Arabidopsis thaliana: one gene and its partner. The protein of the gene in region 2 interacts with the protein of the main gene of each other region in a biochemical or structural test. Each region holds a gene or a part of one and is shown on either strand. Other genes may lie near its edges.

What was found.
Region 1: the proteins of AT1G66260 (region 2) and PARP1 form a complex in vitro, tested with the Arabidopsis thaliana proteins (one study listed by BioGRID).

The regions. Positions count from the first base shown.
Region 1 is NC_003071.7:13,349,239-13,366,457, forward strand, and holds PARP1 (poly(ADP-ribose) polymerase 2), read right to left. Parts: upstream 10,513-17,219; 5' UTR 10,341-10,512; coding exon 10,197-10,340; intron 9,448-10,196; coding exon 9,398-9,447; intron 9,318-9,397; coding exon 9,101-9,317; intron 9,004-9,100; coding exon 8,817-9,003; intron 8,706-8,816; coding exon 8,423-8,705; intron 8,274-8,422; coding exon 8,078-8,273; intron 7,979-8,077; coding exon 7,817-7,978; intron 7,745-7,816; coding exon 7,684-7,744; intron 7,602-7,683; coding exon 7,538-7,601; intron 7,446-7,537; coding exon 6,962-7,445; intron 6,878-6,961; coding exon 6,765-6,877; intron 6,682-6,764; coding exon 6,605-6,681; intron 6,502-6,604; coding exon 6,341-6,501; intron 6,248-6,340; coding exon 6,056-6,247; intron 5,973-6,055; coding exon 5,864-5,972; intron 5,728-5,863; coding exon 5,645-5,727; intron 5,535-5,644; coding exon 5,397-5,534; intron 5,268-5,396; coding exon 5,085-5,267; intron 4,856-5,084; coding exon 4,808-4,855; 3' UTR 4,510-4,807; and 1 more. Other genes in the region: ARPC1B (actin-related protein C1B), read right to left, coding at 25-113, 480-549; INH3 (inhibitor-3), read left to right, coding at 1,671-1,994; LBD14 (LOB domain-containing protein 14), read left to right, coding at 3,747-4,025, 4,128-4,415; AT2G31335 (uncharacterized protein), read left to right, coding at 11,747-11,929; emb1381 (embryo defective 1381), read left to right, coding at 12,376-12,517, 12,605-13,233, 13,369-13,529, 13,805-13,865, 14,059-14,124, 14,312-14,397, 14,499-14,562, 14,641-14,853 and 3 more; AT2G31345 (uncharacterized protein), read right to left, coding at 16,258-16,470. UniProt on the Arabidopsis thaliana protein: Involved in the base excision repair (BER) pathway, by catalyzing the poly(ADP-ribosyl)ation of a limited number of acceptor proteins involved in chromatin architecture and in DNA metabolism.
Region 2 is NC_003070.9:24,691,177-24,706,323, forward strand, and holds AT1G66260 (RNA-binding (RRM/RBD/RNP motifs) family protein), read right to left. Parts: upstream 7,739-15,147; 5' UTR 7,673-7,738; intron 7,309-7,672; exon of another isoform or gene 7,201-7,308; 5' UTR 7,119-7,200; intron 6,735-7,118; 5' UTR 6,708-6,734; coding exon 6,486-6,707; intron 5,741-6,485; coding exon 5,591-5,740; intron 5,501-5,590; coding exon 5,432-5,500; intron 5,345-5,431; coding exon 5,154-5,344; intron 5,071-5,153; coding exon 5,002-5,070; intron 4,906-5,001; coding exon 4,719-4,905; 3' UTR 4,470-4,718; downstream 1-4,469. Other genes in the region: AT1G66245 (uncharacterized protein), read left to right, coding at 1-131; AT1G66250 (O-Glycosyl hydrolases family 17 protein), read left to right, coding at 1,887-1,971, 2,486-3,736, 3,848-3,875, 4,087-4,240; BGLU21 (Glycosyl hydrolase superfamily protein), read right to left, coding at 8,934-9,141, 9,221-9,329, 9,421-9,523, 9,608-9,642, 9,750-9,967, 10,046-10,161, 10,282-10,534, 10,624-10,711 and 5 more. UniProt on the Arabidopsis thaliana protein: Export adapter involved in nuclear export of spliced and unspliced mRNA.

The DNA of each region.
Region 1 (17,219 bases), on a different chromosome or scaffold from region 2:
GAGAGGGAGAGAGAAAGGTTTCACCTTTTGGAGGACATGTAACCTCTCCCAGTGGTCTTGAGACAATGATTTATAGATATGAACTTCAGTGTTGTTAGGACAGAGAGCAACCACTACCAAGAAAAACGAAACAAATGTCAAAGCACATAAATGGTTACAGGCTTTAGTACAGACGTTAAATCATTTGTAACAATAGATTTGGTTCATCTGTTTAGAAAAGCGCATCTACTAATGTACAATACTAGATACCAAGTGCTCCTAACAAGAGACACCGACAAACAGACATATAAAACATTGACTCGAAAATTCTCAATTATAGGGATTTAGAAGAAACTTGATTACCAAGATGTATAAGAATAACACAAGTCAATTCAGAAAAACTAACTAAAGATCCTCCTCATTTATAATTCTAAAAACAGAAAAACGACGGAAGAGAGAAAGAAGAGAATCACAAAATCAGAGAGGTGTTAGAAACATACTGGAGAGATCAGGACTCCAAGCATGGCAAGTGATTGACTCAGCGAAACGATGAACATCCACCACTGCCATGAGTGATCCTTGTTGTCCCAAATGTGTTGTAATGAAGACAGTCTTTTCTCTCAAATTGACATCTACAGATTTCTAAAACGGAGTCGTACGGTGAATAGATGGACAGATAATTATGATGAAACGCCGATGAGATCCGGAGCTTGACGACGACACAGTCGCAAACGTGAAGTGAAAGTGTAAGTGAAAGAGACGGATGTTTTTGTTTGTGTGTTTTATTTTACTCTTATAGCCCAATTTTTTATGACCAGATCATTTTCTATTTTCCTTGGCCCTGTCTTAGGGGCGGCCCAGCATAATAATAAGCAAAAAAAAAAATAAGATCTAAATTCTGCATTAGTTAAATACTTAAATATACATAATTGGATTTAATCAAATCCATCCATGTAAAAATCTGAACTAAACCTCACTATGAGTATGAGTAACTTATAAAGTCATTCTATATATTCAGTTTTCGAATCCCAAATAAGTTAACATTATAGTTTTCTCAAAATTAATTACACTGTATTAGTCTTTTTTCTAATATATATATTAACATTTCTTAGAAAATAAATATAAAATTAGACCGAATTTTTTTTTTTTTTTTTTTTTTGGTTGGAGCGACTAAATTTCTCCATCGGCGAAAGAAAAAAAAAACAAAACGAAAAAAAAAAAAAGTTTCTCGATTCAACAAGCGTCCCTTCCTCCTTGGGGATTCACAGGTTTGCTTCTTCGTCGATTTGATTCTTTGAATCTTTTTTTCCCCTAGGTTTAGGTTTCGCTATTGTTTCTACGATCGAAACTAGGTCTCTCTATTGTTTACTGCAACATTTGATTCTCAATTTCATATCACCGATTTGTGTTTATCCCCTGGAATTAGGAATGATTAGGGTTCAGATCTCGTAGGCAATGAATTTAGGGTTAGAGAAATAGCATCTGTTTGGTTTGTTTACCTAAAGAATGAACCCTAAAGGCTTTGTTCTGTTTTACGATTTTGTTTAAGGTCTTAGTTTTTATCTTTAGCTCTTGTCATTCTTAAGCATGTTGTTAGTTGTTACTATTAAGAACTTTTATTCTCTGTTCTTGTATTTTGGTACCTTATGAAATTAGTCTTTTATGCAGATTTTGAAAGCTAATCTTCAGCTATGAGCACAGCAACAAGGCCTTCCTCTTCAGCAACAACTTCTGTCATATTAGAAAACCCTGTTTCTCAATCACAACCTACTGAAAGATTAGTGCTTCGGTTGAACCGGAAGAAGAAGAAAGTTTCATGGAAAGATGGGACTGTAGACAATGAGTTTATGCAGAAGAAGAGTTCGAAGAAGTGTTGCATCTTTCATAAACAGAAGCCTTTTGATGAGGATGACAGTGAAGAAGAAGATGATAACAACCATCACTGTGATCATAACCATGAACACTCCGAATCTGGTGAGGCATCTTCTTCTAATGATTCTAAAGCCGTTGACTAATCAATCAGGTTTTTTCACGTTACTATATATTGAAGCTTTTTAATAGATCATGGAAGAACACACATTTGTTGTTTTGGTCTCTTCTCCTATCTAACCCTGGTTGGGCGTTATGTATATGTACAAGTAATTTGCAGATTCATTGCAATGTTAACTCCTTCATACTCTGTTGAAAATGATGTGAATCATTGAAGATTGCTAATTAGTTAAAGAATTACAAGGATGTTATATTTTCTTTCTACATTTGAATATGCTTTTGCTTTTGCTTTTGCGACTGCATACTATTTCTCAAAATGCAATGTTCGGGTTTCATCAATTAAAAGATGAGCACTATATTATTTTCCCAGTAGAATAGGATTTGCAAAGGGTAAGTATAATGTTTGGGTTTCATTGGCCGATGTTGGGATCAATGCAGCTTCTGGATCAGATGGGTTGTGATTAGGATCGATAAAAAAATATGACCGATATGGCAGAACGATGTAGCTACTGGTCGGATGGTTTGGTTGGCTAGATCGGTGGCTCTATGACCATGATGGTTGATCGATGCGGGTTATTTAGTTGGCTCCAGGGATATTGGATCTGCATTTGACTGATGGGCACGGCCAATGTGGCTTATGAGGGTTGTTTGAGGAGTCCTAGATCAGTCATTGGTGAGACCGATCCCATGGCCGTACTGGTTCTGTTATTTCTTTGTTCCCCGGTCCTTCTTTGACCAAAACTCCGTCTTTTCCGCAAACTCTAGGCACAAGTTAGGATATCTAAAGACACCCGAAATCCTTAACATAGATAAGAAAACAAAAATAAAGCTTCAAACTCAAATTTTTCTTACTATTTTTAATCTCCACTAAACCAACATTAAGTCATAAATCCACTATCAGTTGTTCATTATTATCGAATAATTTAACTTTTGTACTTGATCAATTATTTTGGAATATTTTTGATGTTAATCATGATTCATGATTAATATGTGGGCTGGATAATCATGGGTCTCTCTATTTTTCTAGTCTGTAAAGTTTGATCGAAACTGAGAGCATTTTAAAATATTTAAATCGAGATATAGAAATAACTTGTCTCATATACTACTAATATCAAATGCCTTTGTTCTTATTCTACACACATCTCAATCACTTATGTGGTGTATATGTTGAGCATTGTTAAATCTTAAACTATTGTTTTCCAAATTAAGCAATAATGACAACAATCTTAACATAATTTCACAAGTACATGTAAATTTTCAACTAAACAAACACTAAAAGTAAACTCTAATTTATTTTTCTAAATAAAATAAGAGAGTAAATTAGTTATGAATTAAAAAAAAGCTAAAACCACAACAAAAAGCAACTTGGGTTTGGTTCATGTTTACTCATTGTTTTGTCCTATACGTCAACCAAATCTCTCATTTGATCGGATCTTAATATTAATATGGTTCTCTCAATATTTTCTTAAGAATATTCTCCACCTTAAGAGTTTAATCTCAATAATATATTACAACGAGTTATTGAATATTAGAGAGATGTTTTACAATATAAACTTGAGGGAAAATATAAAAGCTGCAATCTTGTAATTGTAAGCCATTAGAGAGACAAATATGTAAAATAACAAGTTGAGTTATCATAAATCCCACCTTAGTCCTTTACCATAAACACTCGTGCACTATATAATCGTCACTAGAAGAGTATAAGTAATGAAGTATTAATATTCCTACAAGATAGTAATAGTTGGTTAATATCAATAGATTATAATTACGTTTTGAGAATGGGAGGTTTAGGCTCACCATGTGGAGGATGCAAGTTCTTGCGTAGGAAATGTGTAGAGGGTTGTGTATTTGCACCATACTTTTGCTACGAAGAAGGATCTTCTAATTTTGCAGCCATTCACAAAGTGTTTGGAGCTAGCAACTTCTCTAAGCTCATTTCTCATCTCCCTGATCATGACCGATGTGACGCCGTACGAACCATCTCTTACGAGGCTCACTCTCGTCTCCATGATCCTATTTACGGCTGCGTCTCCCAAATCTTCTCCCTCCAACAACAGGTATTATACTTTTTCTTCGGAAATGTATACATAATTTTTTTTTGCTTTTGCTTCATCATCTCTAGTGTACTTACAAGTAACTTCACTGACTTTGTTCTTAAGGTTGTTAGTTTACAAGCACAAGTGGTTCTACTTAGAGAAGAAGCTTCGAGAAGGTTCCCTCAAGATGATCCTGGTTGTAATATGAAGCAACAAGAAAAGGTTCTTGCTCAACAAATGCCACAAGATCTTCACAATTGGTTTCACCAAGGAATCTTGGACTCAGACTTCGACCCAATGAGTGGTACTACACGCGACAATGAGCGGTCCATGGATCATAATGAGTCTCCTTGTAGCTCAAATGAATCACTTAATTACTACCAGGAGGTCAATTTTCCTTGGTCTGTTTGAGTACAAGTGACTACTTTGTCAGAGATGGAACCTTACAATCTTTCTATTGTATCGACTTTTCGACATTTTTCATAGTAGAGATCGAATCATGCAACCATTTTCTCTTTGAGAATAACCACTTCTTCGATGATCTTTCATAGGTACAACATCAGATCTGAACAAGTGTCAAGTCTTAAGAAGTGTCATTACTGAGAAAAAGCATAACAAAATGTAGTGTACGCTGTTTTAAAACCAGAAACATCTACAACGCCAGAGAGTTAAATCTGTGACTACATGTTGGATTCGATTTATCAAAAGACATTTAGTTACAAAAGTTAAGTCTTCGTGTTGGATTCGATTTCCCAAAAAAACATTTAGTTAACAGAAGTGACGTCTTCTTGTTTGGTTCAGGCTCATCTCTTGTGCTTAAACCTTACTTTCAACAAGAACTGCAACTTCACCTGTTCAGAGACAAAGCAATCTTTGTCAGACATGTACACACCATAAAAGAATCAAACACAGAATATGTTGCAAAACTAATAGCTAAAGCCGTATTCTAAAGCATGAGCTTTCTAGGGAATTCAGTTCTCATTCCCAAGTACCCGATAAGAACAAAAGAGGACTTTAGTGTGTGCGCAATATCCCATTGTTGTAAGGAACAAGGAAGATTATTTTGGAAACACAAGTTACCTGGGCTGTATCGTAGACGATATACTCATTGTACATAAGCTCAGAAGCCTTGACCTTTGATGAAACAGGTTTTCCACAGGGAACAGTCACATCACCTCTCCACTTGGCAAACTCGGAATCTTGAGGCACTTTCTTGCCGAGCCCTTTGGTCGAGTGTTTCCCTCTCGGAGGTTTATCCATATACTAAAGAATTGAGGACATAAGAGAAAGTCATATATGAAGGTAAGTAATATCTTAAGTTGTTCATATAGTTTTCAAGATAAGAACCAAATGGTTAGTAGCATAACCTGAAAAACTGTAATATGGGCTCACCTTAGCTTTTGTTAGCTCATGTATTTCTCCCAATGCAACTTCACTCAGAAGCATTAGACCCACCGGATTTTTCTTACAAGTGTAGCAGTACTGAGCACTTTTACTGACAAGGTCAGCAAAGTATATCCCTTTTCCAAACTGAAACATGGGGTTTAAAAAAAGTTCAGATTCTCTAACAAGTTAACTAGATAGTGAAGAACTCTCAATTGATAAGATCCCCACAAATAAGACACAGATAGAGTACTGACCATGTAACCAGTAGCAGGAGCTTCTGGAGGTGCAATTCTCAGTCCTTGGTTCAATATTCCAACAAAATTCGTTAATCGAGAACCTGAAAGCAGATTTATTTTGGTTAAACCAAGGGTTTTGATGATCAACCAGCCAAATATATAGAATCAACCAAACAATGAAATTTCTTGTATCTGTTTCCCAAAGCATGTAAATGTGGCTGGTTGCAGTTGGCTTACCATGCCATAGGAGCATCTTATTGCCAAGTTTTTCTCTGTGGGGAGCATATTTATCAAACTCTCCTTCTCTTTCAAGAGCAAAAACTTCCTCTAGCTCAAGACTCCACTCCTGACAAATCCAGTGACCAGAAATTGAATTAGAAAATTATGATAAACAAAACATGAAAAGGGATAAACAGAGCTTGAACTCACTGTATGCGTTGGGGCATGAGTTGTGTTAAGATACTTCTCGATTAATCGATAATCTTCGCTATCATGAGGAAGTGGTGAGATATCGCAATGCAGCTTCTTATACTTATCATCAAGAGATTCGGTGCTATCAACATCAAAGCCAACTATTCTTGAAGCTATTTCGATATCCTGCAGAGCCTCGAGCATTTTCACCTGTGACACACAGATACAATACCTCTTTGTAACACAGAAAAAGAGGCTAGGAATTAAAAAACAACACCATGGTTCATGTTCTATGGCAAGTACCTTTGACTTAAAGTCATCTTCATCTCGGATAATATGAGGATGAATAGAAGGGATCATGGTAAAAAATCTGTTACTAGCATCAACAAGCAAGCTTTCTTTCATAGTAGGCTGGGGGTCGCTTTCAGTCAATAGCCTCTGTATCTCCGTCAATGCCTCAAAACCTTTAGAAGAACAAACAAGAAAAAACATAATAGAATGTAATGTAGAATTAACATTTTATTATTTTTATCATATAAAAAAGTAAACTAGAGAAGTAGGAGTTACCCTTCTGTATATTATGTTTGCTGAGCTTCCCAAGTGGCATCTCTGACATATTTATCTCGAACTCCATCATTGCAGATCTGCGGAAGTAATTATTAGGTTACTTCATACAGTTTCTAGGGAGAGAAGAGGAGAAGAAGACAATGGCAAATAAGTTTCTAACCTGTAAGTTTCCACATCAAAAAGCATCTTCATCAATTCTATTAATGATGGAGCAAGGTTGCTACTGGTCTGAAATGGCTCTTTTTTGGCTACTTGCTTATTAACTCCATAATCCTAAAACAAACGATACAAAAGAGTTTATTGAACGATACATAAGAGAATCTTAAGAGACAAAGATATAGTCATATGGATGCTTACAATGTCCAACGGGAGAAATTTTCCAGGTTGTTTCTGGAAATTCGTTTTTTGTTCCCAAGATTCCCATGTGTTTCCGGTTTTTTCAAGAAATAGACGTTTGAATTCGTGAACCGCATCAGACTTTGACATTTCCTCCACTTTGTTACCACCAATCTTTTCATTTCCAACTCGGCCCCATTTACGAAATACGTAACAATCTGAACCTTTATCTTCTTGGATTATCTGGAGTATGTAATAACTATTGATACCGGTAGAGAGATCAGACATGCTCAGAGTTGTGTTATAGATACTGTTCCCATCTTCAAGAATGTGACAGTGCTCTTGGAGGCCAGACGCTTCATGCACAGCGCTTCGTCCTTTTACTTTAACAGTGACAAGGCTCTCACTAGTGTCTTCAATTTTGTACTTGTCAAATGGAAGTTTCCTCTGTTTTTTAAAACAATCAACCAAATAATCCTCTCTCACGATTGCCACTTTCATCCTCCTGCCACACATTTATCAACTCCAGCGTTCAAAGTGAGAAAAAATAGTGTGACAAAGTTAAAGAGTATCAGCACAATGAAGGCAATATTCTACCTTGCCTTTCTCATTTCAGCGTCTCTGATATCTGTCAGTCCACAAACAACCAAACAGCTTGTACCTACAAATTTGTGAAACAGAGATATTCAAAAGCTAAAACTAGTGTCACAATAATCAAAAATAGACACTCGAGTTATCCATACCTTTTTTAACATTAGCATGAAACTCTGCACCAGCTTCCTCAATTCTCTTCTTCCATGGTTGCTGCAAAATGATCCCATCAAGCAATGAAGTGCAAAGATAGTCTACAATATAATTTTTGACAGAAGAACATACCCTTTCCTTAGTATTTCCAGCAATTGAAACTTTAAGATCTGCTAGCCTTTCACTCCTTGAGGAGTCAGTTGCATCTTTAGAACCTTGACCCTGAGATGTCTCGCCAGACAATACAGGACGCAGAATACGTTTTGGCTTCACACTCTTTTGAGACTTATTCCACTGCAAGTAATCAAAATATAAATATTAACTTCATGAGTAATATATACCACATCTAACCTAACCCATACCAATATCAACTCTACAAAAAGACTGGTTTACCTTCAGAAGGAATTGATTTTCTGTTTCGTCAGGGATTTTCCACTTCCCTTTGATGCGGTCTGGATCCAAAGTGGAATGAGAACATTTGCTCCATTCTGAGATGTATCCATGGCATCGGTAAAGTCCTCCGGAGAAAGAAAGATGCCCAGAGCACATTGGGCAGAGAGCGAGTGGGCCAAACATCATGCCATCAGCACTAAATAGAAACAAATAGAGAGGTTAGGCATATGATTATGCATCGGTTTCTCTAATCCAAATTACCTTTAAGAAGATCCACACAACAGTAACAGAAATAGAACAAAAGACAAGCAATTAACTTCCAGACAGATTCGCAAAGTAATTTACCATTTATCACGCAGATCAAGTTCAGATCCTCTTGTACTTTGTTCATTTACTTCAAGCATTTCCCGCAACTCAGCTGATGTTACATATTTTTTCAGATCATCCTTCAGGTCCCACAATTCCTTAGTTTGGGCCTCCATTTCCTTTTCTTTGCTACAAGGTTGTAAAGCACCACTTGTAGACATGTCAAAACTACTTTTTGCTAGTTTCGACTTCTCGTTATCAACAGAATCATTTTTTCGTTTTGTGCCTGCTCTTGAATTTGTTTGACGTGCTTCTGCTGTCTCTGTCCCAGTTGGGCCAAAATAAATTAACGGAAAGATCAGACTAAAGTACTGCAAATCAGGATCCTGTAACAAGGAAATCAATATATTACCGTACACCTTAAGACTCTTACCAGTTTTGGCTGCCGGCAGAGCTTTCTTCACTAAGGGAAGAAGAGCTTCTTGGTCTGAGTCTGGTATACTTCTCCATCCAGACAAACTTTCCAGTTCAGTAGAGGAAGACATTTCAAGGAAACATTTAGCGTGATGCCACATCAAACCTTTGTTACCCGGGCCTTCAGGCTTGGAGAATATACGTACCTGGAAAACAAAAATGCAAAACAAAACCCTAATGCATATCGAACCAGTTCATATAAAACGCTACAACCATGACAGATGAAGTAGAACAACAATTTACCTCTCCTTTCAAGATCTTTTCGCTACACTTTCTGCAACCGGCACGAGAAGTTTGTGACACTTCAATCCCATATTCTAGTTTGGCATTATTAGCGGTACTGCTCGTGCTTGTGCCTGTGCTTGTGCTTGTGTTACTCCCTGCTCCAGATTCGACATATTTTCTAATCTTTTGCTGATCTTCCCAACGAAGTGATTCTATGCCTTCAACATCATCAACTCTAGCAAAATCAAGAGACAAAAACGAGTTAATAGCCAAACACTTTAAATATTTGTTCAAAGTGACATTGGTTTTACATACGATTTTATCTGCTTCGTCTTCTTTAGTATACAAGAAGCATGGTTCCACATCTGTGTGAGAAAAATAAAAGTACAAAGAGGATAGTCAGCTAGGAAAACTTCATGTCAACTGGAGCTAAAAGCAACATATAATTAACATGGTGAAGTGAAGCAGCATGAAGAAGGAACTACATAGTGAAAAGAAGAAGAGAAGAATGACCACTGCCATTCCATTAAACAACAAGCATAAAAGCTCATGAAAAACACAGCTGATTGCAATCATAGCATTGGCGGCATAAAGATATCAAAACACAGCTAAACAAACGATTATGATCATCCAAACAGAATAACGTCAGAGTTCCAAAGGGAATAATAGGAGTTCACATACGTCATTGCAGAAAAGCACGAACCTTTTGGCAATCATCAAGTACTAAATAAACACACAAGTGACTCAAATTTAAGCTTCAAATGCTCTTTTATCACATTCGATTAGGCACAAAAGGAGGAAAGAACATAATGTGAGGAAGGTTAACATCTATTTAAGAAGTTAAAAAAGTTCCAATTTTGAGATAGAAAACAAGCTTGACACACACACACACACAAATTTGCAAGGAATGTAGAACAGTGGAAGCAGAGAGAACAGGATTGAACCCTCAAAAATAACCAATTTCAACCAAATAAACCCAATTTGTCTGACAATAATTCTAAAAGAATCAATTTTGTCCTCAAAATCAGAAAGAAACATTAGAACGCACACTAACAAGCACGAGAGTATAGTACAGAGACAGTTCCAAATTCTGGGAGAGAAAAGAGAGTCATACGGGCATGATGCCATCGAAGTGAGTAGATTGAACCAACTTTCCAAGACGAAAGTTCTCCTTGTTAATGACGGACTTGCAAGTTTTACATGAAGACCTCGACGACTTTGCATACTCCGCCCTCCACGGCTTATGTGGGCTTGCCATTTCTCCGGTAAGAGACAATTACACAATGCGAGAGTACTATTTATACGTATGGCTTCTCTATCGAAGATGATTATGATGACGACGGATTGAGGAATGTTTCAGGTGAGAGTAAAGCTTCTCGGCGACGCTTTTCCAGATTGTGTTTCTACCGTTTAACCCTTTTTCCCTTTTTTACCCTAAAAAGTCTGTTTTAAGATTATTGCTTTCAATTATTATTTTGATAATCAGATTTATTCAATGATTTAATTTGATATCAGATTAGTAAATCAATAATTTGCACCCTCCGTTATGCAATAGACGATGATTACTATCACTTGTTGTTTTATATTTTTGAGACAGGAAGAAAAGATTATGTGAACATAAAATTATGGCTATAAAATGACAATAGGGAATTGAAAAAAGAAAAAAGAAAATAGCATTGGTGAAAAATATATTAACAAAAAAAATCAACAAATCATGGACGAATTCGCAGAATCCGTCGAACGATTGAATCATGGTGGTTGTATATTTCGGAAAACATCTGTACATTTCTAGTTTACATTGGAACAAAAATGAGAATTTTGACCACGTAAGAGCTACATTGCTAAATTAAATCCGACATGTTTTGTGTTAGTTTTCGAAACAGCAGTTAGCGTCTCTTTGAGGTTAGAAGCTTGGTATAGGGTAGAGATTGTTCGTAATAACGACGATAAGGTCTCGAGATTTTTGGAACTGTGACAATTACGCGAATGTCCATCTTTAATTCGGCGTTCAGAATCAGTGTTTCTTCTTGAAAAACTGCTAGTTGAATTTCTCATTTAGTTTATTTGTTGTGTTTTTGTTTCGATTTTTTTTTTTTTTAGCTTTGCAGCCTTTTTTCGCTATAATTATATGATTGCATTTTCCATCAAAATTTTCAGAATATTGTACTAACAAAAAAAATCCAACATGTACTACAAGAAGCAAAAAAATATGAAATTGATCACCATAATTTGTCAGAAAATCAAACCGGGAATACACTAATCAAGTTGGACCGTAATAACATCCCGGGTGCATTTTCCTCCTATTTGCTTAAAAATTCGTGAGACGCGTGATCTTCTTCGCCCTTCCGTATGAGCAAGAAATCTTGCGGTCCAAGACAAAACCGGTTTACGTGTTAACTTGTTTAATCAGTCTCAATCTTTATTTTCTAGTTCAAATGTCGAGAACCAATTTTTTCCAACTAAAAAGTCAATCCATAAGAATCCAAGTAAACCCTCCCTGACGACAAAAAAAAAGTAAACCCTCCCTCTCTATATATTTAACTCATATTCATATCTTTCAATGCGACACAAAAGAGTAAACGAACTTACTACAAATACTTTTTAGTACAAAGAAACAAAGTTAAAGTGATGATTATGAAGAATTAAGTAATCTTTGGAGTGATTATGCTTGCCATTTTTGTGGTTTTCTTGGACTCCACAAAAGTAGAAGCCACGAGGATGTTAAGAATCACCTTCGATAGTGATATCCGGTTCGTGTTCGAGTCCTTGCAGAAGGGTACGGTCCCTGGATCTGGTCCTAACCGTTGCTCTCACATCCCCAAAGGCTCGGGTTCGTGCCACGGATGATCCCTCTTGTGAATCTCAAGCTTGATCTCAATACCAAAATTTGGACTATGGGTGGAACTTTTTGTATTCATTTTTGTTGTATACGAGAAACTATGCTTTACATGTTCTTGTAAGTTGTAACAAAGCTATGAGAGCAAATTTGTTTGAAAGTATAAGTTTGTTTAACAAATTTGTAATAGTACTGGAAATGTTTGATAACCGGAATAATAGTCTTCTTATTTGGTTTAAGAGACGATAAATGATTCAGATTGTATAAACCGGTTCATATTGGTTCGATTGTATAAACCGGTTGAGATTGGTTCGAGTTGAAATTTGTTCTTCGTTGGCGAGAGATCCTTGAACGCTTAAACCCTCCATGGTTTTGGATTGAACATTTCCCCTGAGATTTGGGAGTGTCCTTAAACCCCATACACTGATCGAGCTCAAGAAGAAGGAGAAGCAGAGAAATGGTGAATAAACATTGGAAGATAATTCCAAAGCCGCTTCTAGAAACAGTTCTCAACAACCATGTCCAACGCCACCGTGTTCCTCAGCCTCTCATCCTCCATGGTCCTCGTGGCGTCGGCAAAACCACATTGATCCTCAACCGTAAAATCCTCTCTTTGAATCCCTAATTTCCCCAATTTTGTTCAAATGATCGTACCTTTGATTCGTTCCCGATCTCGTTCTTATTAGGTCTACTCGGAGATTGGAACAAAGGGCCACATCTCGCTGGCTATGTAGATTTTGCGCAATCGATAACGGAACACCATCCAGATCACCACCAATCATATCCATGGACGTCTTGGACCAGTGTTGACCCACCGTTGTTGTCCAATTGCAAAACCCAGCTCGAGAATTGTCTTGAATCTATGAGTCACAAAGCTATCAAACTTGGGAGTATAAGCTCGCAGCAGATTTTCACTACTATGAACAAATGGTATGGTCTTAATACTGCACTTCGTCGTATACTTCAGGGTTATAACATTGCTGTTCCAGAGAAAGTCTCGGTTTCATTTCTCTGGGAACGGGCTGTGTATGCCCTATCTGTTCGACAAAATGCCGATGAGATTGATGGGTTGCTTGAATTGGAAGAGAAAGGTAATAGCTTGTCCGTTGAAGAGGCTTCGTATTATAGAGAGACTGCTTTTGCGTTAAGATTGGCTAAAGAGGTTATTAAGGTGCACCAGGGTTGGAAAGCCAATGCCATTGCTCATCTTAATCGAACTAATGGGTTTTCGAGAACTTTAGCGAATTCATGTACTGATTGGCCGTTGCTAATGCTTGAGTTGTTATCACAAGCTGCAGAGATTGGCTTCTTCCAGGTAATGGAATAGATAAGTAATGGAATGGAATCTTTGATCTTATGAGTGGTAAACAGTAAATGTATTCATCTGGAAACAGTTTGCCAACTATTGATGTTATTTTTGTTTGTCTCTATTTCTTGTTTCATTTGACAGCCTAAGCTGGTCTTGAACAACATTGAAATCTTGAAGAGGGCTATTCAGACTGATGATTCAACAGTCTCAGCGTCAATGTACCATGACAATCTTATTTGGAGAATAATAGCGTTAGGTGCGAATGAGCGCTGTCTACCTGTCCTATTCGTGACTTCGGACAGGTTTGTCCTGTTTTTTGTTAGCATTTTTGGGTTTAATAAGGACAATCTGTTACTATCTGATGATTACGTGGTCTCTTAATCTAGCCTTTAAGTTTCAATTTCTCAACACTAGAGGGGAAACTGGTTTCTGACTTGTATCACTTTGTAGTATGCCATTAAGTTACCGAAAGTCTGAATAATCATTTTCCATTCTGAACTTGGCTCTTAGTTACAGAAATGTCTTTTGAAACTTTTTTATCATTTTATCTGATGTCTAATAATTTGAATTATGACAGCTACTATTCATATCAAGCCTTTGTTGACTACGGGTTTCCAGACATTTTCATCTCTCGTGAGGTATAGAAGCTACATGTATACATCTAAGTAAACTATTGATTCTGTGTGTATTTGTGTGAGCATGTATTGGTAATTTGATATATTATGTAGAGTTTCCCCGTCTCACCTTCATTATATCAACATGAAAGTTCATTTTTTATTTTTCTTCATTCTACCTTTCTTACGTTGCACTTTGGCTTTGTTTCATTTGTAGACATTTGGATGGAATCCTCAAGAAGCAAAATTACACATGGTTCCTGATTACTTCAGTGCTTCGGAGGTGAGAAAAATGCTGTAGGTAATGGCACTGCTTGTTTAATGAAACCAAAATATGTGACAACTCTAAAACCTAATAATATCAAACCAGAAAGGTTGAATGATCTTTTATGCTAAAATTTTACTGGTCATTCTTTTTTTAATTGAGATGCTGTATATTACTAGAGGTTTAACATATGTTGGAATTGTAGTGGACTATCATTGCTGATGTTCTTGGTGCGAATTCTCGGCATCTATTTGAGCTTTATGCGCTTAAACAAAGTAATCATTACCAGAGGTAATGGTTTCCTGTTCTTTCGTTTGCTCTAATCTCAAAATGTGTCAACCCTCTATTTTTTCGTTTCTCAAATGTGACCTAGTGCCGTTGTGTTTTATCAGTTTGATGGGGAGTAAAGCAGGTACATTTGAAGATATTGTGGATGCATACTTGGCATATTTACAAGTAAGCTCATTTAAAGTGATTGCTTTCAAATTACGCACGAAAGTCATCGTTAATTTTATAGTCTATTTCCTTGTTTAGGTTGCTGTGGTTAATCCTGCAATGGACAAAGCGTTGTTGCGGCTTCAACGGTATGCCACTGATGTACGAAAAGGAAGCATTCCGTATGAAAAATTACGTTTTGGTGCTTCATGGAGGCATCCTCCGCAAACTGAGGATCCTACACAGAACTCTGAGTGGGCTAAAATTCAGCTGATGGATTTTGTCCAAGCTCTTGTCAATACAGAATTCGCGGTACCTACTCTTCTAGACCCTTGATGGAAATAAAGCCAAAGTGTTCAGTTTTACCTTATCGGACATGAAACTAATGATTATAGCATCACTAATAGTGTACAAGCATCAATGATTCTATAGGTAAATTATTTGGGTGACTATAGCCTTGAGATCTTTGAAGACCCTTCAGCTATGGCATTGGTTGAGGTAAAAACTTCTATCTTTTCTTGATCAGTAGACACTAATTTCGAGACCCATTTTACTAAAAACTGATTAATTCTGTTTCAGGTTGGGATACTGTATACTCAGCGAGATCCATCTTTTTTCCGGCCAATATCTCAAGGCATTAAAAGATGCCTTGTTAGATGGTCAGCAAACTTTCTTCCCTTCTCCTATGGATCTGCTCTTTGAAACTCTGTTTTTTTACTTACGCTCATGATTTGCATTACAGGCTCATCCAAGAGCGGATGCAGATGAGTTATTGGAGCTCAACAAAATATTGGTGGCAGAGAATCATCCGGGGTCGTTATTACAAGCATTTAATGCTTGGCTACAGAACATAGGCAGTTTCACACAGGTAGAGACGATTACACGCTCTGTTTCTAGCTCTCTTGCATCACATTGCTTTAGAGGATAATGAACTTAGGACTTTCGTAAACTTTCGATTCAAAAACTTATCTGTTCAAGTTGATGCGTTAGCATCGATGAATCCTCAAGTCTCAACAAACGTACAATGTTGCTGTTACTTCTACTGATAAAACTAATTATCCCAAGTTTCACACATCAATGCAGGTTTTGTTTTCACAGGAACGTCGATGAAATCTCGGTATCTTGTGCACGTACACATGTCGGACTCAGGTTTTACCGTGAAGTAGAAAACATAAAGGGGCGTTGTTTTTGTTGCCGTCAAGGTCTGACTTTTAGTAAAATCACATTAAGAAGAGACGTCGGAGGGAAAAACCTCCAGCTACAGAACGGTGTAATCGTGTAAGTGGGAATACATTGCCATGAGAACGTCTTTCTCTTCAGACGCTGTATATAAAGCGCATGTTGCTGTGTTTATGTCGATTTTTTTCAAGTAAAATTATAAGTCAAAGAATTCAATTATTCACTGTATTGTCTACCTTTCCAAGCCGAAAAGTCCAATAAAGTTTGTTGTTAAAATGAAAAATCTTTGGATTGTTACATTTACATTTTTCTTGACCAACTAGTGAATAGTGAAAAAACATGTTTGTATTGAGTACAAACACGCTAATAGACTAATTAAATTTCCGTTGATTACAATTCAATTACATGAGACGAAGTCTAAAGCTATCGTATAATTACGTAAATGTAATTATGTACGTAACACACAAATGTGAGGAAAAAAAATATGGAATTAAAGAATGATGAAGATGAAGAAGAAGAAGATTCGTATAAGACAGCTCAGTTATGGCATCTGCCTGAACCGCGAGGAATATTAGTGCAACCGTTCCGACCAGAACCACGGACCGGTCCTCTTTGCAACGCCTGAAACAGAAGCCGGATCTCATCTACGGGATCTGGGAAAGGCCTCATGGCTTCAACTTGCGTAGCGTCCAAGAAAACAACGAACATAACAACTAACATAACTACGACCACCAATTGTTTTTTCATCATGTTTAGAATTTTAGTTTTTCGAATGAGAAACAAAAACAAAATTGAGCTTTTTTATTGGTGAATGTAGAGTTTTTTTTGTTTTTGTTTTGTATGTGTAATAAATTCGATAATGACTCATATATATAGGGTTTTTGAGATGTCATTGTTTGACTTGTGCTAGTTTGGTCTCACTATCTTATGTTTATGTATACACACACATACATGAAATTTGACTTTGACTTTACTACAAAAGAATTCGTTTTCAACATTTTGAACCAAATTTGAAGGATTTTGAAATATAAAATTCACTTAGACACGGTTTGTCCAAGTCCACACAGGCTTTTGCTAAAAATATACAAGACCTGGCCCTAGCAGCCTCATTCTAAACCGAATTCTGGTTTCGGTTCAGATTGGTTTCATTTGGCTTCGTAGTCAGATACAACTTTCTCTTTTCGTGACAGAGTGTGGAAATGGATTCTCTTTTGCTAATTGAAAGATATTAATAGACACTCAACTAAAATATATATCATCTCTTACAAAAGCAAAGTGTTTTCTTTTTTTAATAAGTTGGATAGCTTTTGGTGAAGCTTTGTTCTGAAAGAGAGTAAGAGATCATTGTTAATAATATGGTAGTACTTACGATACTAGAGATCTTATGATAAAATAATGCGAAAATAAAGATACAAGCATGCATGCGTCAAAAAGTGTTATGATGACAAATGAATGTACTCTAATTTTCATATCTAAATTTTTACTAATATTCTGAAGGT
Region 2 (15,147 bases):
ACAACGATGAGAGTCTATTACTCAAGAGTTCTAAGTATAGAAAAAACGAGAAATTTGAAGATTCAAAAGGTTATAAGAAAGGAAAAGGTAGCAAGGCTAAAGATTCACTGAAATGTCAATTAGTTGACTAAATGTTGAATGTGCATTTTAGTCCTAACAAAATAAATGTTTCTTTCATAATGTATAATATGATCATTGATCATTTAGTTAGTATGAACAACTACTCTGTATGATCATTACTTTCAATGAAAATTGTGGTTTTCTTATTAAAAGCTCGAGCTCGTCATGGACTCATGGCAGTGGTAATTTGGTCACCAAAATCTGGCTGCGAGACTCCAAAGACGATTACATGTGTCGGCATCCCCTAAAGTTATGTCATGTATGCTCAGTGTTTCCTCGCATTACTCTCCAATTTTTGCCTTGCAAGATACTTTTGTGCATGGGCATGGCTTGTCACTTGTGTCGCGAACCTTGTCTTCACATATTTCCTCGATATATTTCAATCTCTTTTTCTAGTATATTCTTTAATCCTTCCAGATATAATCTGAAACTTCATTGAATTAACAAGTTCATAACCAAGATCGTCTATCATTTAAAGGCCTTAATTAAAAAAGAAAAGTCAATAACAAAGAACACTTTGTTAATATCCTCACATTAAATTAATTAATAATCATCTATAAATATATCATTAACCAACAGACCCGTTATTCATTTTTAAAACTTGATTAATTCTCTCGCAACCACCCACAAAAGTGATAAAAGCATAAGTATAAAAATGTCAAGAGATTTGACAAAATTTTGTAGGCCGAGTTAGATTGACTTAGGTTCGTCCCAAACGGCTAAATCACTTGTCCATGCTTACCAAGATGCCAAAATACACGACATATTCCACAACAAACAAATTCCGCTATCTGATAATTCCCGAAAATATGTTCCAAAAATATATAGAAATGATGGAAACAAAATAATATTTTAAAATCTTTAATATTCATTAACTAATGATTTATGAAAAATTATTAAAAAATGATTTGAATATTTTATAAATCTATTAAGACGAAAACAAGCCATGTTTATTCTCTCTTATAAGCTATGTATAGTATTTGTAAGTTACTATTAGTATGGGTAACAATTATAAGAAAACGAATCAATTTATTAATAGATAAATTAAGATAAAATCACATAAAAGTAAGAAAAAGGACCAAATGTAATAAAGAGTAAGAGAAATACAGAGAAACAAACAAAAGAGTCGCAACGGCTATTTCGTAGTTACCAACTTATTTTGCTGTCCAATGCACAACTTGTTCTTACACCAAAAGTTGTGCTCTTTAAACTTGCATTTATTCTACCCAAAAAAAAAAAAAATTGCTCAATATATATACAAATATATACCATAGTTTATCACTAACAATCAGTAGTATTATGTTTCACACTAATATACTCAAAATTAATCATCAAATCATATTAATATTAGTGATTAACAAACAACAAAGAAGCTAATTAAGACTTTTCTTTCCCACAGTACAACTCTCTGACTGTGTAACTCACTCTGTCAACTACAAGATTACAAAAGACCGTTAGATTTCATCTTTGACCATTTGAAATCTTAAGATCAAATCTCAGCCGTCCATTCCACCGTTACCAATCTCTCTCTTTCGATATAATCAACAAATTTTCTAACTTTTTCTCGGTGTCCTTTCTCAATCAGAAGCTTTACCCTATTTTCTCTATACCTCCCACGCAATTTCTCTCATTCCTTTCTTTGTGGGTTTTTGTTTATTCTTCACAAAGTTAACATTTTTAGACTCAAAACTCATTCTTTTGCCCTTCCTCTGTTTCTCCTCTCTTGGGGTTTATCTTAGATTCTCCAAAAAAGTCTCTCTCTTTCCATGGCTTCTCTTCTCCATCTTCTTCTCCTTTCTCTTTCTCTTTTAGTTCTTGCTTCAGCTTCTCCTTCTCCTCCAGCTGATGAAGGTGAGATTCTTGTATCTGATTCAATCTTGTACTTTGAGTTTCAGATTCAATCTTTACTCCCAAATTTGAAAGTTTTGATTTTTGCATGTGTTAATGTTCTTCTAGAAAACCAAATGTTCCATTTTTTATGTAGTAATAATTCCACTGTCAGTGATTAATGAAAATAGCTTTAATATAAAGTAATTAAAGACAAGTCCTTTTGTATGTATGTGTTGGATTTGATTCATTGAGTATGTTTGAGAGTGTGGTAGGTTATGATAATAAATGTCAGTATGTGTGTTTGGCAGGTGGGTTTGTTTTTAAATGCTCACTAAGAAACAAGAAATGGTGAATTTTCATGTCCCCAAATATTTATTACAAGACAAATAATTCAATGTCTAATGTTTTGACCAGAGACATAGTTCTTTTTAGTTAAGTCTATGAATCCAAATCTTTGAGTATTGTACACTCTTTTGGACTAGTTCTAGATATGTTGATACTAATGGTTTAGTTGAAATCAATATATTTTTTGTAGGTTCATATATTGGAGTAAACATAGGGACTGATCTTTCTGATATGCCACATCCAACACAAGTTGTTGCTCTACTAAAAGCTCAAGAAATCCGACATATTCGATTATACAACGCTGATCCCGGGTTGTTGATTGCTCTAGCAAACACTGGTATCAAAGTTATAATCTCCATTCCTAATGACCAGCTTCTTGGTATAGGTCAATCCAATTCAACCGCAGCGAATTGGGTTAAACGCAATGTCATTGCACATTACCCTGCAACGATGATAACCGCGGTTTCTGTTGGCTCTGAGGTGCTAACCAGTCTCTCTAATGCAGCACCTGTTCTAGTCAGTGCTATAAAGAACGTTCATGCTGCTTTACTCTCGGCGAATCTTGACAAGTTGATAAAAGTTTCTACTCCTTTATCAACTTCCTTGATTCTTGATCCTTTTCCTCCATCGCAAGCGTTCTTTAACCGTTCTTTGAATGCGGTTATAGTTCCGTTACTAAGCTTCTTGCAGTCAACAAACTCATACCTGATGGTGAATGTGTATCCATACATTGACTATATGCAATCAAACGGTGTGATTCCGTTAGACTACGCGTTGTTCAAACCGATACCTCCAAACAAAGAAGCTGTTGATGCAAACACTCTTGTTCGTTACTCAAACGCTTTTGATGCAATGGTTGATGCAACGTACTTCGCTATGGCGTTCCTCAACTTCACAAACATTCCGGTTTTAGTAACCGAATCAGGCTGGCCTTCGAAAGGAGAAACCAATGAGCCTGATGCTACACTTGACAACGCCAACACTTACAACAGTAATCTCATTAGACATGTTCTTAACAAGACCGGAACTCCGAAACGCCCGGGGATCGCTGTGAGTACTTATATTTACGAGCTTTACAATGAAGATACAAAAGCAGGTTTATCAGAGAAGAATTGGGGGTTGTTTAATGCAAATGGTGAACCGGTTTACGTACTTCGGTTGACTAACTCGGGCTCGGTTCTAGCTAACGATACAACGAACCAGACTTATTGTACTGCAAGAGAAGGTGCTGATACAAAGATGCTTCAAGCTGCTCTTGATTGGGCTTGTGGTCCTGGAAAGATTGATTGTTCGCCTATTAAGCAAGGAGAGACTTGTTATGAACCGGATAATGTCGTCGCGCATGCTAACTACGCGTTTGATACTTATTATCATCAGACTGGGAATAATCCTGATGCTTGCAACTTCAATGGTGTTGCTAGTATCACTACCACAGATCCAAGTAAGAAACATAAAAAGCCTTTTTTGATTATACATTGCATTGTGTAATACTGTTTTTTACCGTTAATTAGTAAAAAAGCTAATTTTTTCTTGCTTGGTTGTTTCAATGCAGGTCATGGTACATGTGTGTTTGCTGGGAGGTAAATTATTCTGTTTCCTTATACTCTTTTGTTGGTAGATATGTTCATTCTTGGTTTCGATTAGGAAATGTATTGATTTGGTTTTTCGGATTAAAAAGAATGACTTCATGTTAATTGTGTTAAGTTTTTTTTAGTATCAGATCAGTTAGTCCAAATGAAACACTCATATTGTATAAATTTTTAATGGTTGTTTATTTTACCTCGATTGCAGCCGCGGTAATGGTAGAAACGGGACGTCTGTGAACATAACAGCGCCATCGGCAAACTCAACAACTTCTTCTGGAATACGGAGTGATTTGTATTACAGTCGGGGTATATGGAGTATCTTGACAGTAATGATTTTGAACGTTGCTAATATCTTGTGAGAAATCTTTGGGACATAACAATGTTAGTTTCTGTTCCGAGAAGTTTTTTTAACTTTCTTAGGTGGGATTGGAGTTAGAATTGAGGCCGATTGTGTTGGATTCGATTTTGTACACAACAAAAACCAAGATAACATTCTAATGGTCTTTTTTATCCCATTGTTCGTTTTTGATCCGTTACTCAGAAAGTGAAGTTTAGGGTTTCTGTAGATAAAATTCACAATTGACTAAAAGATTTTTTCGTATATTATTAGATTCAACCAACTAACAATAACAGCTTTCTCATTTACAGCTAAATCTCTTTTAACTTCAATAACCAAAAGTGACTGTGAAAGTGTGAAACAAGAAAAGAGGAAAATAAAAGCAGAGTAGAGCCATCCTAAACGTAATTAAACCAAACCAGACTTTGCCACATATTTAGTCAGAGACTAAGAATAAAGAACACAAAAGTACATGACAAGATGCGAAGTCTTGCTTCTGTTTAAGAGATGTTCATAGCTTCAGCATGATAGCTTTCGAGATCTTTGTCGAGATCCGCAGCAGACTTCTCCACTGGCTTCTTTCCACCTCGCCCACCGCTTTTATTCCCTCTGCCACCACCATTACCCCGGCCTCTACCACGGAACCCGCCTCGACCAGCTGTCACACCACCTTGTTGGTTTTGTTGGCTGTCATAAATAAACAATATGATAAGATAAGATGATAAAACCAATGCATGATCAGCCCACATGAATGACAACGAGATCAGACTCTTGAACACTTACAGTGGAAGGCGTCTCCCAGAAGGACCTGAACCTCTTCCTCTTCCTACTCTCCCACCTCTAACTCCTTGTCTGCAATAATCAGTGATACATTCACTTCAGCACATAAACTCAAAACTATTCTCTTGTAAAAAAAAAACAGACCGGCAACATACCCAATGAAGACACTCCTCTTCATCCTTCCATTCAATCCAGTCACATTAACACGAGCTGCGACAGGAGCAGATTCAGTATTTCCACCCAGAATCTCCAGTTTCATAGGCCTTCCATCCAAAAGTACATTATTGTATTTCCTCATAGCTTGAATTGCATCACTTCTTCTCATATACACAACTTCAGCCGATCCCTGTATGACACAGAACATCAGATATCAAATATTACAGAAACACGGTAATGAACAGATAAACCATAGCAAAAAGAAAACAGAACTTACACTTGGACGCCCATTTTTGTCATAGTGAATTGCATATCTTTTCAGCTCTCCAATTTCAGCATAGAGTTCCTAGATTCCATATGATAGTACAAACCAATTTCAGAAAACTCCACAGAACCAAAACAACAGAAGCACTGGAACATAGATGTCAGGCTATACCCTTATATCTTCATTTGTCACTCCCTGATCAAGGTTGGTAATATAAACTGTGGTTCCGACTTCCACTCCTGATACCCCAACAGCTCTAAGGGTTTCTTCATACAAATCATTCTGATTCTGCCATGGCAAGCTCCTCTTCCTGCGGGCAAGCTGATCCAGTAGAACATATCAAGTCAGCTAAAAGGGTCTGTAGAATCTTGAAGCCACATTAATCAACAAATTTCTTGAAAGAGGAGAAAACACCCATTTGGCTGAAAGTACTAAAGCAAAGAGCTCCAGGAAGAAGTAGTCAAGAACCATCCAAGGAGATACCAAATGAAACGTAGGGAAACAAGTAAATTTGACTAACTTCATATGAATCATACTGGTGTTATCAGTCAGTCTCTGAAGCCAAAAACGAAAACTGAGACTGCCGTCACACTCCGAAGAAATTCCAGATGTACCATCGTGAACTTCATGCATAGTGCAAATACCCCCACTTTGATAACCCATCATAAATCCTATTTACTGTTAAAATTTCTGAAATTCCCCCTAAAACCACACACATTTTCAGGCTTTATCCCCCTGTAGATAACCCTATGTGGACTACTTAGCTTAAAGGAGCTCCTCAATAAACCTATAGCGAGTGACAATATCAACCGAAAACTTCTGCACATCTATTCATGCCTCTTGAAGTTCCCAGATTTTAACCATAAAAACCACTAATTGCAGGAAAGAAGCTTTTCTAAGAAGATGTTAGAAGATTCTTGTAATCTGAATCATCATCAGAAGTAACGGTATATGCATGTATGATTCTTCTCCAAGGACAAAAGAGCATTAAAAGATCATCCATCTTAAGTTTTAGCATGCTTCGGTATTTGGTGGCACAGAGTTCCAATCAAGATTTCGAGCTTGCCTTGTTTATGGAGAAGGATGATGATGGCCGAGTATTAACAGCAAGAGGACCTCTACGAACAGGTCCACCTCCTCTTCCACCTCCTACAACACCATTAGGTCCACCACGTCCACGTCCACTCTTACGGGAAACTCCTTTACCTCCAGACCTTGCAGCTGCAGACCTTTCACTCTTACTCTTCTTCACAATTTCATCAAGAGTCATATTCAAAGCGTCTGACATCTTCAATCCAATAAAATCAAACTAAACCTGAACAAATTGGAGTTTAGAAAATTACAATTAGCTACCACCAACACAATGACAACACACGCCATCAAAATCGAAGGAGATCAAGCAATAATTATAAAATTCAAGCTCAAATACACAAATCAAGGACGGTGAATCATATCCACTGCTCGAATTCAAAGATCTGATTATCGGAACATATGAACCAATAGATTCCTAAAACCTAGAAAACAATTCTCATAAGCGATATCGAGAAAACACGAATCACTGCAAAATTTTAGACGGAAACTCGTAATCGCATCTCAGAAACATAGATCAAAGCCCTAGATCTAGATTCGTAATCGAAAAAGTGAAATCAATCGGAAACATTATACGCGAAACCAGATGAATCGAGAATCGAAACGTTACCAGATTAGGAGAAAAGACAGATCGGAGAAGATCGAGAGATCTGTGTTAGGGTTTTGAGGAAGCTTTTGGGGATTTTTTTTTTCTCTTGAGGATTTGATGAACGAAGGGGGGGAAATAGTTTGTGATTGAGATTACTGGTTAATGGAGAGGAGAAGGTATCTTTTTTTATATAGGACTAGGTCAGCAGGGTAATTATGTAACTTTTCTCGATTTAGGGGGGGCGTTTTGCGTCTCTTATCAAAAGTAGACAATTACCAAAAAACCGTAAGGGAAGATTGCCAGCTATGCGTTTCCGCGTTTAGTTAAAAATAGTTTATAAGATAAGGATTATACTTTTCGAAGATATCAAAAATGCCCCAGTTGTTTTTCTAATTGATATGTTGATACTACAATTTTTTTTTTTTTTTTTTATTGTGTATATGTAAGAATCTATCAATCTATCATTCCTACGGAACCTTTTTGGTACTCCTGAAAAACAAATCTTGATCAAACCTATATTTGCATATGCAGTTTAAGATTATGTCCAGTGGTGAGAACCTTCTATAGACTCTCACTATTTTTTTGTTTTATTTTTTTTTGGAAAGATTTATTAATTTTGTTATCTTTCCATGGTAGGTTCTCCAAGTAGGGTTCTTTAAAAGAAAGTGTATATGATCCTTTGTGGCTCAAGATCAGTTCCAATTTTATTATGTGATCCTTGTGCCTTGTAATAGATGTCTAAAGATGAGTGTTAAAGAGAAAAACAAACCAAAAGACATGACTCACTACAGAGCATAAATTACAGTATATGCATATATTTCAAATCTTACCAATTTGGTAGGTCTTGTCTTTCCTTTTTTGACAGACAATCCTTCCAACTCAGCTTCAAAGCTATCAATCTACGACTCTAGTTCACTCACTCACATATCAAAAGCACGAAAATAAGTAATGAATCAGCTACAGTACTGATAGGAGATGCTCCAAGAATTCTCAATTTTACAAAAGAAACAGTCTGAAAGTGAGTTGGCCTTTAAATTTTTTGCTTTTAAAAAAAAAATCTTGAAAATCACTATTTACATAAATCGTTTTTGATAAGTGACTACTAGTAAGATAGAATGTGATGATTTCATTATTAACACATACGTTTGATTGTTTTTTTTTGTTTTTTTTTGCTTGCTAAGAATGAAATATGAATTTCCAAAGTAATGAATGATGTTGGTATTGCATGGTGGATTTATTTGGTTGCATCATGCATGGATTTTATTTCCTTAAGGTATATAGAAAATACGCTTGGCCAAATGAGTGAAAAAGAGATATCTTCTCTTGCTGGTCGTCCTGTTTTTTAATCTAAACTAGTGACTTTCAAAAATAAAATATTAGAACTGTTTGGGAAAATGAATTGCCATTGTTTATTTCATCGCCAACGTTTAAGTTGTTAGTTTTTGAAATGTTTGTACTTAGTTGTTAAGACGACGTCAAATTATTTCCTAATCTATTTCTATGTATAGAGGTAAATTCGTATTTTTAATTTTCTAAAACTAATGATATTTTCTTACATCATTTTGTAACTCATAAATTTTTTAATGTTAAGGTTGTATGATTCAATTTTTCTTCAAGTTTGGAAGGTAAAACATATTTAACTTCACATATTGATTCTCAAAAAGGATAACGTCATTAAAACTAAAGCCTTCTTGATCTTGTCGAATAAGCTAGAGATTGAAGGAAAACGAAACACTTTTATTATTATTAACCACGACTCATGAATCGTGCGTGGTCAATCACAAACTAAAACATAGGAAAAACATCGAATAGAAAACGAAATCCTCAAAATATAACTTAAAGCTCATCCCTCTTGAGTGCGGATGGACGAACACCTTGAGCGAGGAAATCTTTGTAATACTTGGCTGATTCTTTCTCATAACGTGTGAGGTTATTTTTGAAATCGACGTAATAGAGTCCGAATCTGTTTTTGTAACCATCTTGCCATTCGAAGTTATCCAACAATGACCATACAAAGTATCCCGTAACTCTCACCTTATCGATGCTGCACAAACACAATTATGTTCTTAATTAGACCATTCAATAGAATCGTTAGTCAATCTATCAAATAATAAAAGGCTTACCAAATAGCCTCGTTCATAGCCAGAAGATGCCTCTGAAGATAATATTTCCTGTTATGATCAGCAGTACCAACGTCAACCGAATCTGTGGTCCCAAGTTTATCTCCATATCCTAGAAAAAACAACATTATAATGATCAGTATATTACTCTTAAGAGTTAAGATTAAATCAACACACAAATATAACAATAAATCTCGAGTTACCATTTTCCATTATCATAATCTCCGGGTTTGCGTATTTGTCCTTGATGTACTTTAAAAGCTTTCTAAATCCTTTAGCGTAGACGGGCAATGCAGCAGTAAGAGGCTGAAATAAAGCAATGGTGAAAATGTTATGTCGTAGACAAAAATTAACAATCACAAACTAGGACTAGTTTAATCAAACGCTTACCATGCTACCAATGGCGCTGTGATCTACATTCTTAGCTGAAAAATAAAAAGTGAAAATGTATGCATATCAATTAGTATTATAAAACCTTTTATCTTTAGTTTCTTGGTTTGGTTTCATGTACGGAAAACAAAAAAAAACTTACGTTCCCAGGAAACAAGAGAATCTTGCTTCCAACTTGGTTTAGACGGATCTGGCTTCTCATTATAATTTGAAAATGTCGAAGTATAGTAGTTAAGCCCTACGAAATCGGTCGAATCTTTCAATTTTGCTTTTTGTGCAGCAGTAAATTGAGGCAATCTGTAACCAAGAAGGTCTTTCATGATTTGTGGATAATCTCCCGAAGTAGTTGGCTCCAGATGCCTACACAAAATTAATAACTACATTAATTTTTATGAAATTATATACGAGAAACCATTTTCTAACATAATATATACTTACCATCCCAACATAAAGTCAAGTACACGGCTAACAGTTGGAGCGTCATTTGAATCTTTAAGATCATGTGGTTCGAACCAAGCCGGACTATGTGCGATTCCGATTTTCCCACCTTTAACCTATGTCCATAAACACAACACAAAACAACCTATTTTAAGATTCGAAACCTGATAATTAATTGTGATTTATATCTAATGTGACCTGATAATTAATTATGATTTATATCTAATGTAAACTACCTTTTGGCGGAAAACTTCAACAGCTTCTGCGTGAGCGTTGAGGAGATTGTGACTGACTAGATAAGCCTCTTTACCAGATTGTCCCTCTCGGTCTTCGCAACCTGGAACGTAGCGAGAACAACGTCCTGGTGCTTTCTTTCCTAAGTCGTAACCTGCGTGAGCAAAGACCCATGGCTCGTTGAAAGTGATCCAGTTTTTCACTTTTCCACCGTATTCAGTGAAAACATAATCTGCATATTCTCGAAAATCTTTCCTGTATTTTTGCAAAAAAAAAAGATACCAAATTAATAATTTCCATATAAACTTAACTAAATGTATTTTGTTTAATTTACAAAAACATACACAATGTTTTGGCTTAAGAAACCGCCATATTCGTCTTCCAAATCTTGTGGAGTGTCCCAATGGAAAACAGTCACAAACGGAACTATACCTATTTATGACGTAAAATAGAAAGAAATGTTAAATAAGGATACTATATTACTTGTATTTTTGTGAACTAGGTATTTTATATGTATATAACCATTTTTAAGGAGTTCATCGATGAGCTCGTGGTAGAATTGCACACCAGCTTGACTCACTCCCTTCTCCTTTCTCCCATCTAATAAAGCATTACAGTTTGTTTCATTAGTTATTGATACTTCAACATTCACATATACATCATCTAAATTCATTGGTTATTAGTATTATATAACAATCACATAAATCTAATTTCACCAAATTCGATTAAAACAAAATCAAACTAGAGATCTGCAGACATATACTCACGAGGAAATATTCTTGACCATGCGATTGAGAGTCTGAATGCATCTGTGTTTAGATTCTTCATTAGCTGAATATCTTCCTACAAACATTTTTAAGACAAGGCAAAATTTCAATAACATCTCGAGAATATAAGTTATGTTTGTCTTAAATTTATATTAATATATACCTTATAACGATGGAAGAAATCAACGGCCACATCGGCGTGGTCGCCACTACATCTCTCTGTAATTTGAAAGTAATTAAGAAAATTAATGGCTATGTATTGATATTAATTAGTTAAATTTAATTTAATATTTAAACATACTGTATTGAGAATGTAGATTATACGAGTACACTCACCTGGATTTCTTCTACAGTAGATATCCCATAGAGCCGGTCCACGACAAGTTTCATTAATTGCACCTTCGACCTAATGACATAACAAAAAATAGTTGATGAGTTGAGGAATATCACATGCACAAATGATTTCAAATGATAGGTATAACATATTTTGAGCAACTTTTACATAAAAAAAAACCATATTTTAAAAATATGGATTTGAATTCAGATAGAAACACAATAACGACACTACTTTTTGTTTTTTGAACTATGATTTAGTAAATCTGTTGTACCTGAAACGCAGCAGTAGCCGTGCCAAACAAAAACCCATTAGGGAAACTTGCTCGGCTTAGCTTGGAAGTCGCCGGGCAAACAGGATCATCAACCGCTGTTGTCACAGAGACGAGGATGGTTAGGAGCAAAAGCAGCCCCATGAGAGGAAACTTTTGCAATGCCATTTTTGTTTTTAGTTTCTTCTGGAAGAGAACAAGTTTATGATGATTTGTTTACATCCAATCGGAGTTCTTTATATAGCGATTTTGATTGTTTGTTAACGAGTGACTAAAATATAATTGTTTAGTAAAACTATTTTATATATAGGATGATTCATTGCATGACCTCGACCGTTGTGTTCTTACTTAGTTTGGAACATATTATATTGTGCGTGGAACTAATATAAGTTCTTCATCCATTTTGGATTTAATTATTTGATTAGTCCATTTTGGATATCATAATCTCCCAATATGATTATTTGTGTTTCATAATAAACCTTTTTCGGAATAACTCTTATGTACTTTGTCTATGGTTTCGATAATTAACTATGTTCATATATATATAAATATATAATATTGGTGTTTTATATAATTTAATAATTGTATATTATTTATTTGGTAATTTTTGGTTTAAACCACTGTCGCATCTACTGCTAAGCCAATCATAAAATTGCCGTAAATACACATATTTTTAACTGTAAACCAGTCATTTAAAATGTCCGATAACGTTTAAAACCTCAACCAATTACTTCCATTAACTTCCACAATGACAACCACACCCCGTTGCATTTAAACCAACGAAAACCCTAAATAATAACAAGCCTATTTTTGATACTCAAATAATTGGAGACTTTATTATTTTTCAAAACTTAATTGTAAAAACATATTTTTTAACTTGTTTAACGAACATTACTCTTAATCTTTCATAAATCAGTTTCTAATTCGAAAAAAAGTTATACCTTATTCTGAAAAAATTCAGGTAGCAAGTAAAGGATCTCTCATTTAATGTTTGGACTAATGAATGACTAAACTATATGAGTATGTATTTAGTAAGACTATTTTTATAGTATATAGGATGCTTCATGGCACGATCTCGATCATTGTATTATATATAGTTTAGTAAATCTATTTAATAAATAGGATGATTCATTGCATTATCTCGATCATTGACTAATTCTTACTTATTTTTCCTAGTTTGGAACATATTATATTGGGCGTGGAACATATAATATAAAAACGTGACTTAAAAATATATCATGTATGTCCAAAAAAAAAGTTTACAGCATGAGGAGTCCTCGAACCAATCGGCCGGCCCTAAGTCAATGGATCATTTAGTGCCTCGTATAGATCTAGATCGAGTTTTGGATCTTATTTTGTTATGGACGTTAAGTTATTAATGTGTTAGTGACTAAAATATAAATATATAATACAACTGTTTAATAGGATGACTCATTCCATGATCTATATGGTTTACATTACTTTTTTGTTTTCCAATATATAGTCCTCGTGTCTAAAACTCTAAACTAAATTATATCCTCTTTATATTTTATAATTGACACATTTTGCGCGAATAAAAAGACAAATCATTAACTATACAAATATACCATTACTTTATTAGATGATATTTCCTCTATTTCAAATTATATGATGTTTTAGATTAAAACACACACTTTAAGAAATTTATTTTTAATTATAAAATTTGTTCTCTTGATATTAAAAATACAAAATACAAACCAATAGTCAAATAATCAAATAAAATATATTTAAAAATTGCATTGATATTAGTAAAACATCCTAAATAAATCTCTGAAATATCCTATATAATGAATCAGAGTGAGTGTTAAATTTAAAACAAAAATATGAATAAATTAAAGAATAAACGTGGAAGTTTATTTGAAAAGTAAAATTGGAAATTTAAAATAACATGTTTTTTTTTGAAACAAAATAAAAATTCCACAAGAACACTAGTGGTTGTTATACAGAAGGACTATTATTAAATATTTTAAATTGGATGATTTCATTGCACGATATATAAACGTTGAGTTGTTTTTTATTTTTCTAAATCTTGAACGTATAATATTCATCATGCATAAACGTTGAGTTGTTTTTTTTATTGAACAGAAATAAAAATCCTCAAAATATAACTTAAAGCTCATCCCTCTTTATCGCGGATGGACTTAGGCCGTGTTCGTTTCATCAGTCAGATGGATCATCTAGATAGAGATGAGTTTTGATGTTCGTTTGGTGCCAAAAACGGTTCATTCAGATGATCTATCCAAATAAATCATCTGGATGACTTTGAAAATTTAAGCTAAATTTTGAAACTTATTTGGCTGAATTTAATTGGATCATTTGGATGGAGATGATCCAGTCAAAAATAACAAATAACAAAAATACCTTAATTATTTCAATTGATTATTTATATGTATTTTTTCGATAAAAAAACAAATAGACTTAAATCTTATTTTACAACTATTTTTAAAAAATAAAAAATTAAATTTTCCACTAAAACCGCAAAATTATTTTTTTTTCCGTTAAAACCGTAAAATTTTGTTTTTCCGCCAAAACCGTAAGATTCTGTTTTTCCGACAAAACCGCAAAATCACGTTTTCCCGCCAAAACCGCAAAATCACATTTTCCCGCCAAAACCGCAAAATCACGTTTTCCCGCCAAAACCGCAAAATCGTGTTTTCCCGCCAAAACCGTAAAATCACGTTTGTCCGTCAAAACCGTAAAATCGAGTTTTTCCCGCCATAACCGTAAAATCACGTTTTCTAGTCAAAAACGTAAAATCACGTTTTTCCGCCAAAACCGTAAAATTTTGTTTTTCGCCAAAACCGTAAAATCGAGTTTTCCCATCAAAACTGTAAAACCACGTTTTCCCGCCAAAACCGTAAAATAAATTTATAAATGTAAAAAACTATTATTTGAAATTTATTTACTTTTAAATATATTTTAGATTAAGAATTAAAATTAACATGTTTACAAGTAATAATAAAAAATATAATTAGATGAAAGCATGGGTAGTTTAGGTATTTGTATTATTACAAATCATTTGGATGGAGATAGAGATAAGCAAACGAACATCTCATTCGGATGGTCCAGTCAAATGAACCGACTAAAAATGAAACGAACAAGAGTTAAATAAATCATCCAAATAGACATGTTGAATGGATCAGTTGGATGGATCTATCAAATGTAGAAACGAACAGGGCCTTAAAACCTTGACCAAAGAAATCTTTGTAATACCTGGCTGATTGTTTCTCATAACATTGAGATTATTTTTAAAATTGACGTAGTAGAATCCCAATCTGTTATATTAGAACCATCTTGCTGATATTATGTTGTGTTCATTTTTATGTACATTGTCTTATCTTATCCGATATCAAATTATGTAACTTGATTTTATCTAAATTGTTTGGAAAGATTAATCTCAAACTTGTAGCTACGGTGTGACATCTTATCCGATCTCAAATCATGGTGATTTTCTAAAAATGTTAAACTATTTCCATTG